Bombyx mori: one gene and its partners. Each later gene encodes a partner of the first gene's protein in a complex. Links are inferred from orthologs where the notes say so. Each region holds a gene or a part of one and is shown in the gene's direction. Other genes may lie near its edges.

Region 1 (2,525 bases):
ACAACAATAGCGGATGTGGCCTAAAATCACAAGTGACAGCAATTTGGTCGAAATTATAAGGCGGTTGCCCAAGTAGTGGTATGTGTCAATGTAGTGGCGGATAAGTGAGTCGCCAAAGTATGTATGGTGAGAGTTTAGTAAAATAACGAAAATTAATATTTCTCTCCAGTTATCCATCTCTAGAATTGCAGACAGTACTGAAGGCGCATCCTGGTACGTGTATCTGCATCGAGCACGACCCAACCGGTAGATACTTTGCTACTGGGTCAGCCGATGCTCTGGTCTCACTATGGGATGTCAATGAACTGGCCTGCTTAAGAGTTTTCTCCAGGTATTTTTTTTTGTTCTAGTTCATTGAATGTGCTGTAAAAGATATCAAATATACACAATATTATGCCAAAATGTAAACTAATTTCACTAGTGCGGGCTATTGACCAAGCTCCAACAGTCTGCGAAATGCAAACAAACAGACAAACTTGTATTTTTAATATTACGTGAAGATGAAGAGTAAAATACTGAGACCTCTGATACTAATAAATAGACTTGGAAATGGACTTGGAAGTTGGAAATTTGCGATGAAGGATGAACGGTGGATATTACCTAAATGGTACCCAGAATACATTATTCATTTAACATGGAAACATAGCAACCGTTGCTGTGCAATTATACTGTATTCACAAGAGAGTGTTAAAAGTAATTATCCTGGGAAAAGGCAGTGTTTCATTCTTTCTCAATTACAAATACCAGCCACACAGGGAAATTTAATATTGTTGCAATTAAATGGGTGGACGAGCTGACGGCCCACCTGGTGTTGAGTGTTTACCGGACCTCTTAGACATCTACAATGTAAACGTCGCTACCCACTTCGAGACATGAGTTCTAAGACCTGTCTTTACAGTACATCAGCTGCCCCATCCTTCAAACCGAAACGCATTACTGCTTCACGGCAGAAATAGGCAGGGTGGTGGTACCTACCCGTGCGGACCTACCCGTGCAATTAGAACATCTGGTGTGCAATGTTGCAGGTTGGAGTGGCCGGTCCGGACGCTGTCGTTTAGCTTCGACGGCAGGCTGCTGGCGTCCGCGAGCGAGGACCACATCATCGACATCGGAGACACGGAGACAGGTTCGTCTATTTTATATTCATTTACGGTCAGCGGTAACGATCCACAGTTACTAACTTGACTTCACAATTTTGTTTGTGACTGTACGGGACTCCAGTACCGAAAATTAGAGGGAAAATTAGACTAGGGATAGAATAGAAACAAATTTGGGTTGTCAAAATGCTGAGATTTAAATTTGTTGAATTGAAAAGGACTTTTATTTTATATTAAATTAGTCATCAGAGTTTCGTATTAAAGATATTAAAAAGTTAATTACCTTTAGGTAAGTGCCTACTTAACAGCTAAACAGTGCCAGCCCTATCGAGCCCCCCCCCCCCCAATCTACTTTGTCCAGGCAGCGCGCCGAAGTACAGCTATAAAGAAAAGTGCATAATAATTGGCAAGGTTAGCCAGACTAAGTGACTGAAGGACTCAAAATGCCAACGCCCCAGTCAGATCTAAGATCGTATCAAGAGGACTTTGCAGCAGCGTTGCCTTCGAAGCCGCAATCCTTATCAGGGTGGGAACAATTTGAGGAGGTGAATGCGGAGCTTCGATTGCCTAAAGAGTCTTCACACGAACAGCTCCCAGAGTGAAGCAGTAAGCCTTATGATTGAGGTTAAGAGCCTCGATGAAGGATCAGGACTTTTTTGTAGTGGTACCTAACCGCGTGGACTCACAAGAGGTCCTACCACCAGTAACCCCCTGTTAACCTGTTTCAGGGGAGAAAGTAGCAGAGATCCCGGTGTCCGCGTCCACGTTCACGGTGTCGTGGCATCCCGCGCGCTACCTGCTGGCCTTCGCCTGCGAGGACAAGGAGCCGCCCGAGAGGAAACGGGATTTGGGGAATCTCAAACTGTGGGGACTCTCTAGTTCTTAGTGTTGGAAATGTAATATACAAAATAAACTAAAATACTAAAAAGGATTGTGTGGTTTTATGAAACCACGGTAAAAGTGAAACATTTACATTAGACAGTGACAAAAACAAAAACAAAATAGCGTGGAGCACTGGCACAAATGAGTAACAGTCTATACACTACACGGTCAGCTGCTGCGAACTATAGGCGCCGCCATATTGGCCTTGGCTGCTCTGACGAGCGCCTTTCACTTTATCCCTACTCCGCGGCCGACCGTCACGCGACATGCAACACACAGACGAAAAAGTTTGAGACGATGTAATAAAAGATTAAACTAAAAATTTTTTTAAACTAATGGTCCCCCGGTAGTCGAAATTTGACTATAATTAAGTCAAATTATAAGTTTGTACACTACTATGGTTCTATATCGAGTTTAATGAGGGACGGTTTTATTCTGAAATGAGCTCAAATGGTTTTTTAAGCAAACTATAGTAGAATTATTTTGTCCGTGCAGTTTGGGTAATAAAAAATCGGAGCGGTGAAGCGAGTATTTCGCTCTCTCTTC
Region 2 (4,139 bases), on another chromosome or scaffold:
TGTATCTGAATTTGTCAACGTTAAATCGAAGAAATCCCAAAAAAAGAAACAACTTGTTAATTCTTTTAAACCAAAGATCTCGGACAAACAACTTTCGTTGCGCCCGCTGCAGCAGGCTTTGGCGGGAAATCTTGCAAATAACGTAAATAAGCTTATAGTGCCTCCTCGCCAAATTGTACAGACCTCACCAGAGCCTACTTCAGCGAGTCCTTCTATGACACCATCTGAGACCCCAATGGCCGACTCTGTTTACAGAAAAAAATACACTGAACAGGATCCTGGCCCATATATGGTCCATGTTACTTTAATCTCAGATTCTAATAGTACTACATCACTGCACCCACTTAAATTTGGAAATTTTCTAAAGAAAAGCAATCTTGGTAATATATTACAGGATGGAATTAAACGAGTAGGTCGTAATCGCCTGGCAATAACTTTTAAAACACATAGTGATGCCAATATTTTCATATCCAACATGTCTATGAATCCATTGTATAATGTAGTGATTCCTACATATAATATATGTAAAATGGGTTTGATAAAGGGTATCCCTCAGGAGTGGACTCATGAGGACATTGTAGATAATCTGCAAATCCCAGAAGGCTATGGACAAATTATCAAATCCCGTAGATTAAACAGGAAGTCTGTCAACTCAGATGGAACTTCATGGATTCCTACTCAAACTGTGGTCTTGACTTTTGACGGACAGTCTCTTCCCTCTAGAGTGTATTCCTTTTTTTCAAGTATTCCAGTTGAACAGTATATTTATCCAACGGTACAATGTTTCAATTGTTGTCGCTTTGGACACACTCGTGTTCAATGCAGGAGCAAACCTAGATGTAATAAATGTGGTGGAGAGCACAGCGGACTGGCTTGTAATACTGAGACTTTTTCTTGTGTTAACTGTAGAGGTGAACATATGGCTACAAACAAATCTTGCCCTGAGTTTAGTAGACAAACAAATATTAAAAAACATATGTCTCAAAACCTCATATCATACCAAGAAGCCTCTAAATTGTTTCCTATTGTAAAGAAATCATATTCACAAATAACATCATCTATTCCACTATCTGCCCAAAGTTTAAATGATGTAGATAGTTCAAATTCTGTCTCTTACAAAAAAACTGTTATAAAGAAGCCTAAACAGGCATCTATTTTAAATAAGGGTTATGACAAATCAGAATATAAATCATTGATCCGCAGCATTTCATTTGATGAGTCTCAAGGTAAACTAGGTTCCGCTTTGCAATCCAACAAAGAAAAGGATACACAGTTGCCATCTTCTGACACACTAAATAAATTGTTATCCACACTTATAAATATTATTGCTAATTCAGAACTACCAGAACATGTTGCTCTTTCACTTATAAATAATATTTCACTATCAATTTTCAATATTTTTAAATATGGACAGAGTCCTCCAGTGGAACTGTAAAAGTATAGTTCCTAAAAAACATGAAATTATATCTTTAATTAATTCACATAATATTTTTTTACTAGCCATATCAGAAACTTGGTTAGTTCCAGGTTCCAATTTCCGTATGGCCGGTTTTAATATTCTCAGACATGATAGACATGATGGGTATGGTGGCACAGCCCTTTTAATTCGTAATAATCACAGATTTTCTTCTTTGCCAATCCCAGCTTTTAACTCGGATATTTTACAAGCAGTGGCTGCCCGAGTAGGTGAGGTAACATATCTATCTGTGTACATTTCAGAAAAGGATTTATCTGTTCTGCCTATACTAGACAAAATCATTCAATCATTACCCAAACCAATAGTAGTTCTAGGGGATTTCAACGCTCACCACTTCTTATGGGGAGCACCCAACGATGATGGCATGGGAAATGGCTTAATGGAGATAATAAATGATCATAATCTTTGTGTTCTGAATGATGGGTCCCCCACTCGTCGCCCAGTTCCGGGTCAAGCCCCAAGTTATGTTGATATTACACTTAGTTCAGCCAGTTTGTCTTCACTGTTAAACTGGGAATGTTTAACGCTGTCCTGTGGCAGTGATCATTATCCCTTATTAATTTCCTTGCCCTCTGGTAAAACAGGCACTTTTAATCCACTACCGCCGTTATTTAAGTTCAGATTAAATAACTATGATTGGGAACTGTTTAGTCAAGAAGTCGAATCGAAAATTATGTCCCTTCCAAGTTTATCTACTCTTGATGATTATAACAACATAAACAAGGCGTATGATAACCTTATTACGGCATACTTAGCAGCTGCAGATAAACATATCCCCAAAAAGAATGTTGCCCATAAGAAAATATCTTCTCCCCCATGGTGGGACAAAGAATGTACAGAAGCTGTCAATAAAAGAAATGATGCAGAAAAACTTAATAAGCAATGTTTGACCATGCATAGTTATTTATTTTATAAAAATGTTGAAGCGGCCACTAAAAGGCTTCTTCGGAAAAAGAAAAAAGAGGGATGGAAAAGATTTTGTTCCAAGCTTTCGCCTGATTCGCCATCCTCCCTAATCTGGAAAAATATAAGAATGTTTAGATCTTCTTTTATAGCCCCATCTAGAAATTATACATCGCAAGAATGGATTAATCCTTTTTTGGACAATATCGCACCCACTATGGTTCCTAAGTTTGACCAATTGCCTTATACATACTCTTATATATCAGATAACTCTAATATTAATAATAACTTAGCGTGTTCATTTTCTTTGCCGGAACTTCAATTAGTATTGAACCGGTTATCAGACTCCACTCCAGGATGTGATGGTATTCCTTACTCTTTCTTAATTAATTCAAAACCTATAACCCTATCATATTTACTGAATTTAATTAATTCTATAATAGACACTGGTATAATACCTTCTTCCTGGAAACATCAAATTATAATACCTATATTAAAGCCTAACAAAGATTCAAATAATCCTTTATCTTATAGACCTGTAGCGTTATCATCTGTTTTGGTAAAATTAGCAGAACATTTAATTAAACAAAGATTTGAGTGGTACGTAGAACATAACAATCTTTTGCCTTGCTCTCAATATGGGTTCAGAAGAGGTAAAGGTGTGTCCGATAGCCATGCCATTTTTGCAACAGACATTTTTTTGTCTTTTTCGAAATCTGAATCGGTTGTGGGAGCCTTTTTAGATATTCAAAGCGCGTATGATAATGTAAACTTAATTAAATTAAAAGAAAAAATGTCGGATTTAAAATTACCATTAAAATTTATTGATTTCATTTTTAATTTATATACTGGAAGGACTATTTCTTTACATATACCTGGTTTTGAGGACAAAATAAGAAAAGTTTGGAAAGGTATCCCTCAGGGTTCTGTTCTAAGTCCTCTATTATATGACATTTATACTTTCGATCTCCATTTAAATGTTGATCCTTCCTGTTCCATCTTACAATATGCAGATGATGTCTTAGTTTACTCTGCTAACCGTGATATTAAAATAGCAGCGGAAACTCTTAACGATTCATTAAACAAGTTATCATCCTGGCTCTCTGCCCAAAATCTTTCGTTATCTAAATCTAAAAGTCTCATAGTTGTTTTTACGCGGAAAAGAAAAGTTCCCACCGTAAATATTTCTGTTGATGGAGAACGAATACCAGTGGTTAAAGAGGCGAAATTTCTTGGTCGCATTTTTGATTCTAGTATGAACGGTAACGCTCATATCAACGACATTGTAAGAAAATGTGAGAAAAACATAAATATTATGAGAGCTGTAAGTGGCGTTTGGTGGGGGTCTCATCCTGGTGTACTTAGGTTAATGTATAATGCTTTGGTACGTAGTATATTAGACTTTGGCTCCATAACTTTTTGTCTTGAAAACAAAGAACCTCTACATAAATTAGATTTATTACAACATAAAAGTCTCAGGATCGTTATTGGAGCCATGAATAGTACTCCAATAAATGCTTTACAAATAGAATGCTCTGAACCGCCGCTATCTTTGCGTAGACAATACCTTTCTGATAGATTTATATTTAAAATTCAACAATATCATGGACACCCTTTAATTTTAAAACTACAAAATCTTTGTGAAGTTATTAATGGACGAAATGCTTTCTGGCGTAACAGGAAAATCCCTTACTTAGTTTCTAGCTATAGAAGATTTTTAGAACTACGTTGTTCAATTCATAAATTTCAATGCCACTCA
Region 3 (3,408 bases), on another chromosome or scaffold:
TAGTTGCATTGCCCAATTAACTACTAAATATGGAATCTTTTATTGAAATGAAATACATGATTTCTATACCTAGGTATGTAATTATTTTTTTGTTTCATCTCTTTTTTAAGTAGAAATACTTGATTATTATTTAACATTTACTTTTTTATTTAACTATCTATTCAGACAGTCATCTTTGAATTGAACATTGAAAATTTAAAGGTTAATTAGGCCAGCTACCATTCCATTTCTTGTATTAATAAAGAAAAAAGCAAAACACACAACAGAATGCACAGAGCTTTCCAACATGTCACAGCTGATACTAGCTTGAATTAAGAAATGTTTTTATACTTTATTTTGCTGACTAATAAAAAGAGTAGAGCGGGAAGTTATCCCAAAGCAAAAGAATAAGAGAAAATTATCTCGATAAATGTAACATTTTATAGTTAGATTTAAATATTGGTTACTTCCACATTTGTAGTAAGAAGATATTAAGAAAACTTAGCGCACTCACCATTGAACATAAGATAGTAATAGTACCTAGTAAGTTTAATTATTTTAGTCTTGTCTTATACTTCTTTCAATAATAGAACTGGTTTAAAAGACGATATTTTTCATGTCTTAAAATTGAATTGGAACTTACTTCGTTAGCTTCTCCAGCCCGGTACAAAGTAGGCTCGGGGTAAAGAGTACAAACAGTACTAAATACGGCACGACCAGCTGCCCCGTGATAGGAAACTGCCAGGTTGCGCTTTGTAACATTGTTGTTAATATACATTTGCCGCTCAGAAATAAGGATAACACTTGACCAAGCAGTATGCTCCTCCACACTTTCCTGAAAATGCACACTTAGTTAGTTTAAGGACGTTTACCCAAAAAATATTTTATTTATTTATTTATTGATACTAGCCATCGCCCAAGTTCCGAGAAATAAATCTCGACTTTATCACTGAAACTTGACGTTTCCATTGTTTCAGTGAAAGATATTCCGAAAGTTTACTCAGCTAATTTACTGTTAAAATAGATTCAATAGTTTAAAGGGTTTAATATAGCAGTTATTCATCATTTCCTGAACAATGGATCGAAATTCGAAAGGCAAAACAACATGTGAATTGTGGTTGTGACATCTGTTTTTTTTTCTTGTTTGGCAGGCATCTCATAATAGTCTGTGGTTTTCTTTCGTCCATTGAATGAGCAAAGGGAAAATAGCCGATCAAAATCTTTTAATTAAAATAAAAAGGTTAAGCTTTGTGTTCTTAAAATCTTAAGAATTTAATCAGCGTTCAATTAAATTTTGAGATCTCAAGAAACCACGGTCAGCAATTTTGTTTCAATCAATTTTGACAGGAATGTGAAATAGTAAAGTTGTAATACTGTGTGAATGTTTTATTTAGTTTAGTTTTCTTCATCTTTAAATATAAAAATAGTTATCGTCTTATTTATATCATTTCATTTTTTATGCAACAGATATGATTTCAGGCTTTGTCGTAAAATATTTAGATAAAAAGAAGAGCATTTTTAACTTATGAGAATGTCTCCTTTGCCTATGAGTTGGATAAAAAAAACTTTTTTTTTATTAATAATTTAACCTGCCAAAATTTGGAGATAAAATATTTTTAATTTTTCTTGATTTTTGTAAATAAAACACACAAGTTAGCACTTACATATAAAGAACAAGGATAAATTTGAATTCGCTTATGATAAGATTATTTTGTAGAATAAAAACATTACCTAACAATTTATAAGGCAAACTCGGACGAGATCATAATTTCATTTGAATTTTACTCCAAACATAATGGGTGACGGTAAATAACTTTACCTAAGAATACAAAACTACTCAAAAACAAATACTATTTCAATACTCATTGGTTATTTCCAGAAGATGTGATTCGTAGAAGACTTCTGATCGACGGTGACGGTACTGGAGACGACAGGAGACTGAATGTACTTTTAAAAACTTTGATAAAATGGTGCAATACAACGGATGACAAACCGGAAGAAAGGTTGGTTTTAATAAATAGTACCGTATTAGGACGTATTGTGAGCTCACATGCGTAAACACTGTTCCACTTCCGAATTATCATAGCTTCCGCATTGATCATAGCTTCCAATTTGAAGGGTAGAATTGCCATTGTAAATTCAATTGAAACTTCTATCTCGTGTCCCAAAGGTTCTGGTAAGCATTTAATACCAGCAGGGAAATGTTGGCATCTGTTTATCTATAATAAAGAGCCTTAATATTCAATTAAGTGTTCATTAACCTTTTCATTTATTCCCCATATACATTTGTTGTTTTATTATGAGAATAAAAATCTGCAGTCAAAATGTAAGTTTTTGTAGTTCCAGAATATGTAATACGATTAAGATTTCTCGTTTTAGTAAAGCTACTCATGATCGTATGTTAGCTCAACTGGCACAATGCGAATTTGCTGTCACAAAATCGCAACTCGGTTCTGAAATGATGGCTGCTGAATTAAAAAGCTACGAAGCACTCTCGAAAATTCTAGAAAGCGGAATAGAGGTGGCCAAAGAGAACATACAGAAGAGCAAAACAGATTTAGCACAAGCAAAGACTGTCAGAAAAAACAGAATAGAATATGATGTCTTGGCTAAGGTTATCAGTGAACAGCCTGATCGTAAGGAAACCTCTGAGAGATTGAGCACTCTGAAGACTGAACTAGCAAACTTGGAAACCACCAAACAGCAATTGGAAAGTCGGTTAGCATTACGAAAGAAACAATTTCATGTGCTTGTAACTTCAATACATCAATTACAAGCATTATTAGATGAACTAGATGATGCAGAGACTATTTGTGATGATGTTGATATGAAAGAAATATCAAATGAATCATAATAATGAGTGATGTATTAGAGTATAAGATTATTTCTCTATGTGAGATTTCTAATAAAGTATGAATTTTCTACTTGATTTTTTGTTTACATTTTCAGTACTGTAAAATGGGGAGAATTGGGACACTTTTTAAGTTCGACATTGATTTGTATAGTTTTTTTTTGTTTTAGTAATAAAACGGAGATCATAATGGTTCTGGAGGCTTAAATATTTATATACAATGCGTTACTATACATTGTTCACTACAAAAATACACAAAAACTGAAAAAAATAGCTTGACCCCATTCACCTTGGCTTTGGGGTTGAATCAGGTTACGTAGGGGCCCGCGATCTGGACGGGACCTTCAGCCCGCAATGATTGCGTGCTGTGGGTCTCGTCTGCGGGGGAGATGCTGGACTTCCACCAGGCGCGTCCGTGGGTGGCGGATCACGGGATCCTCTGGGCGACATTCCCAGAGGTATGGTCCGATCTTTTTCGTTGCGAGGATTCTTAGGTTTAGGATTAGGTTTAGATGTAGGTTAAAGTCCTAGGTTTAGGATTAGGATAGTTTAGCTAGGCTTTGCCTGGTAGATCCTTT

The links. The genes of interacting proteins can lie anywhere in the genome.
Region 2: THO complex subunit 3 (region 1) and THO complex subunit 1 share a complex: the UniProt entries of both Homo sapiens proteins name them as parts of the transcription/export (TREX) complex. The link is inferred for Bombyx mori from reciprocal best matches to the Homo sapiens genes THOC3 and THOC1.
Region 3: THO complex subunit 3 (region 1) and THO complex subunit 7 homolog share a complex: the UniProt entries of both Homo sapiens proteins name them as parts of the transcription/export (TREX) complex. The link is inferred for Bombyx mori from reciprocal best matches to the Homo sapiens genes THOC3 and THOC7.

The regions. Positions count from the first base shown.
Region 1 is NC_085132.1:2,069,957-2,072,481, forward strand, and holds the end of THO complex subunit 3, read left to right. Parts: intron 1-169; coding exon 170-331; intron 332-1,025; coding exon 1,026-1,126; intron 1,127-1,825; coding exon 1,826-1,983; 3' UTR 1,984-2,025; downstream 2,026-2,525. UniProt on the Homo sapiens protein: Component of the THO subcomplex of the TREX complex which is thought to couple mRNA transcription, processing and nuclear export, and which specifically associates with spliced mRNA and not with unspliced pre-mRNA.
Region 2 is NC_085117.1:15,880,659-15,884,797, reverse strand, and holds the start of THO complex subunit 1, read left to right. Parts: upstream 1-1,339; 5' UTR 1,340-4,139. UniProt on the Homo sapiens protein: Component of the THO subcomplex of the TREX complex which is thought to couple mRNA transcription, processing and nuclear export, and which specifically associates with spliced mRNA and not with unspliced pre-mRNA.
Region 3 is NC_085129.1:4,007,709-4,011,116, forward strand, and holds THO complex subunit 7 homolog, read left to right. Parts: upstream 1-1,311; 5' UTR 1,312-1,774; coding exon 1,775-1,784; intron 1,785-1,858; coding exon 1,859-1,982; intron 1,983-2,358; coding exon 2,359-2,833; 3' UTR 2,834-2,908; downstream 2,909-3,408. UniProt on the Homo sapiens protein: Component of the THO subcomplex of the TREX complex which is thought to couple mRNA transcription, processing and nuclear export, and which specifically associates with spliced mRNA and not with unspliced pre-mRNA.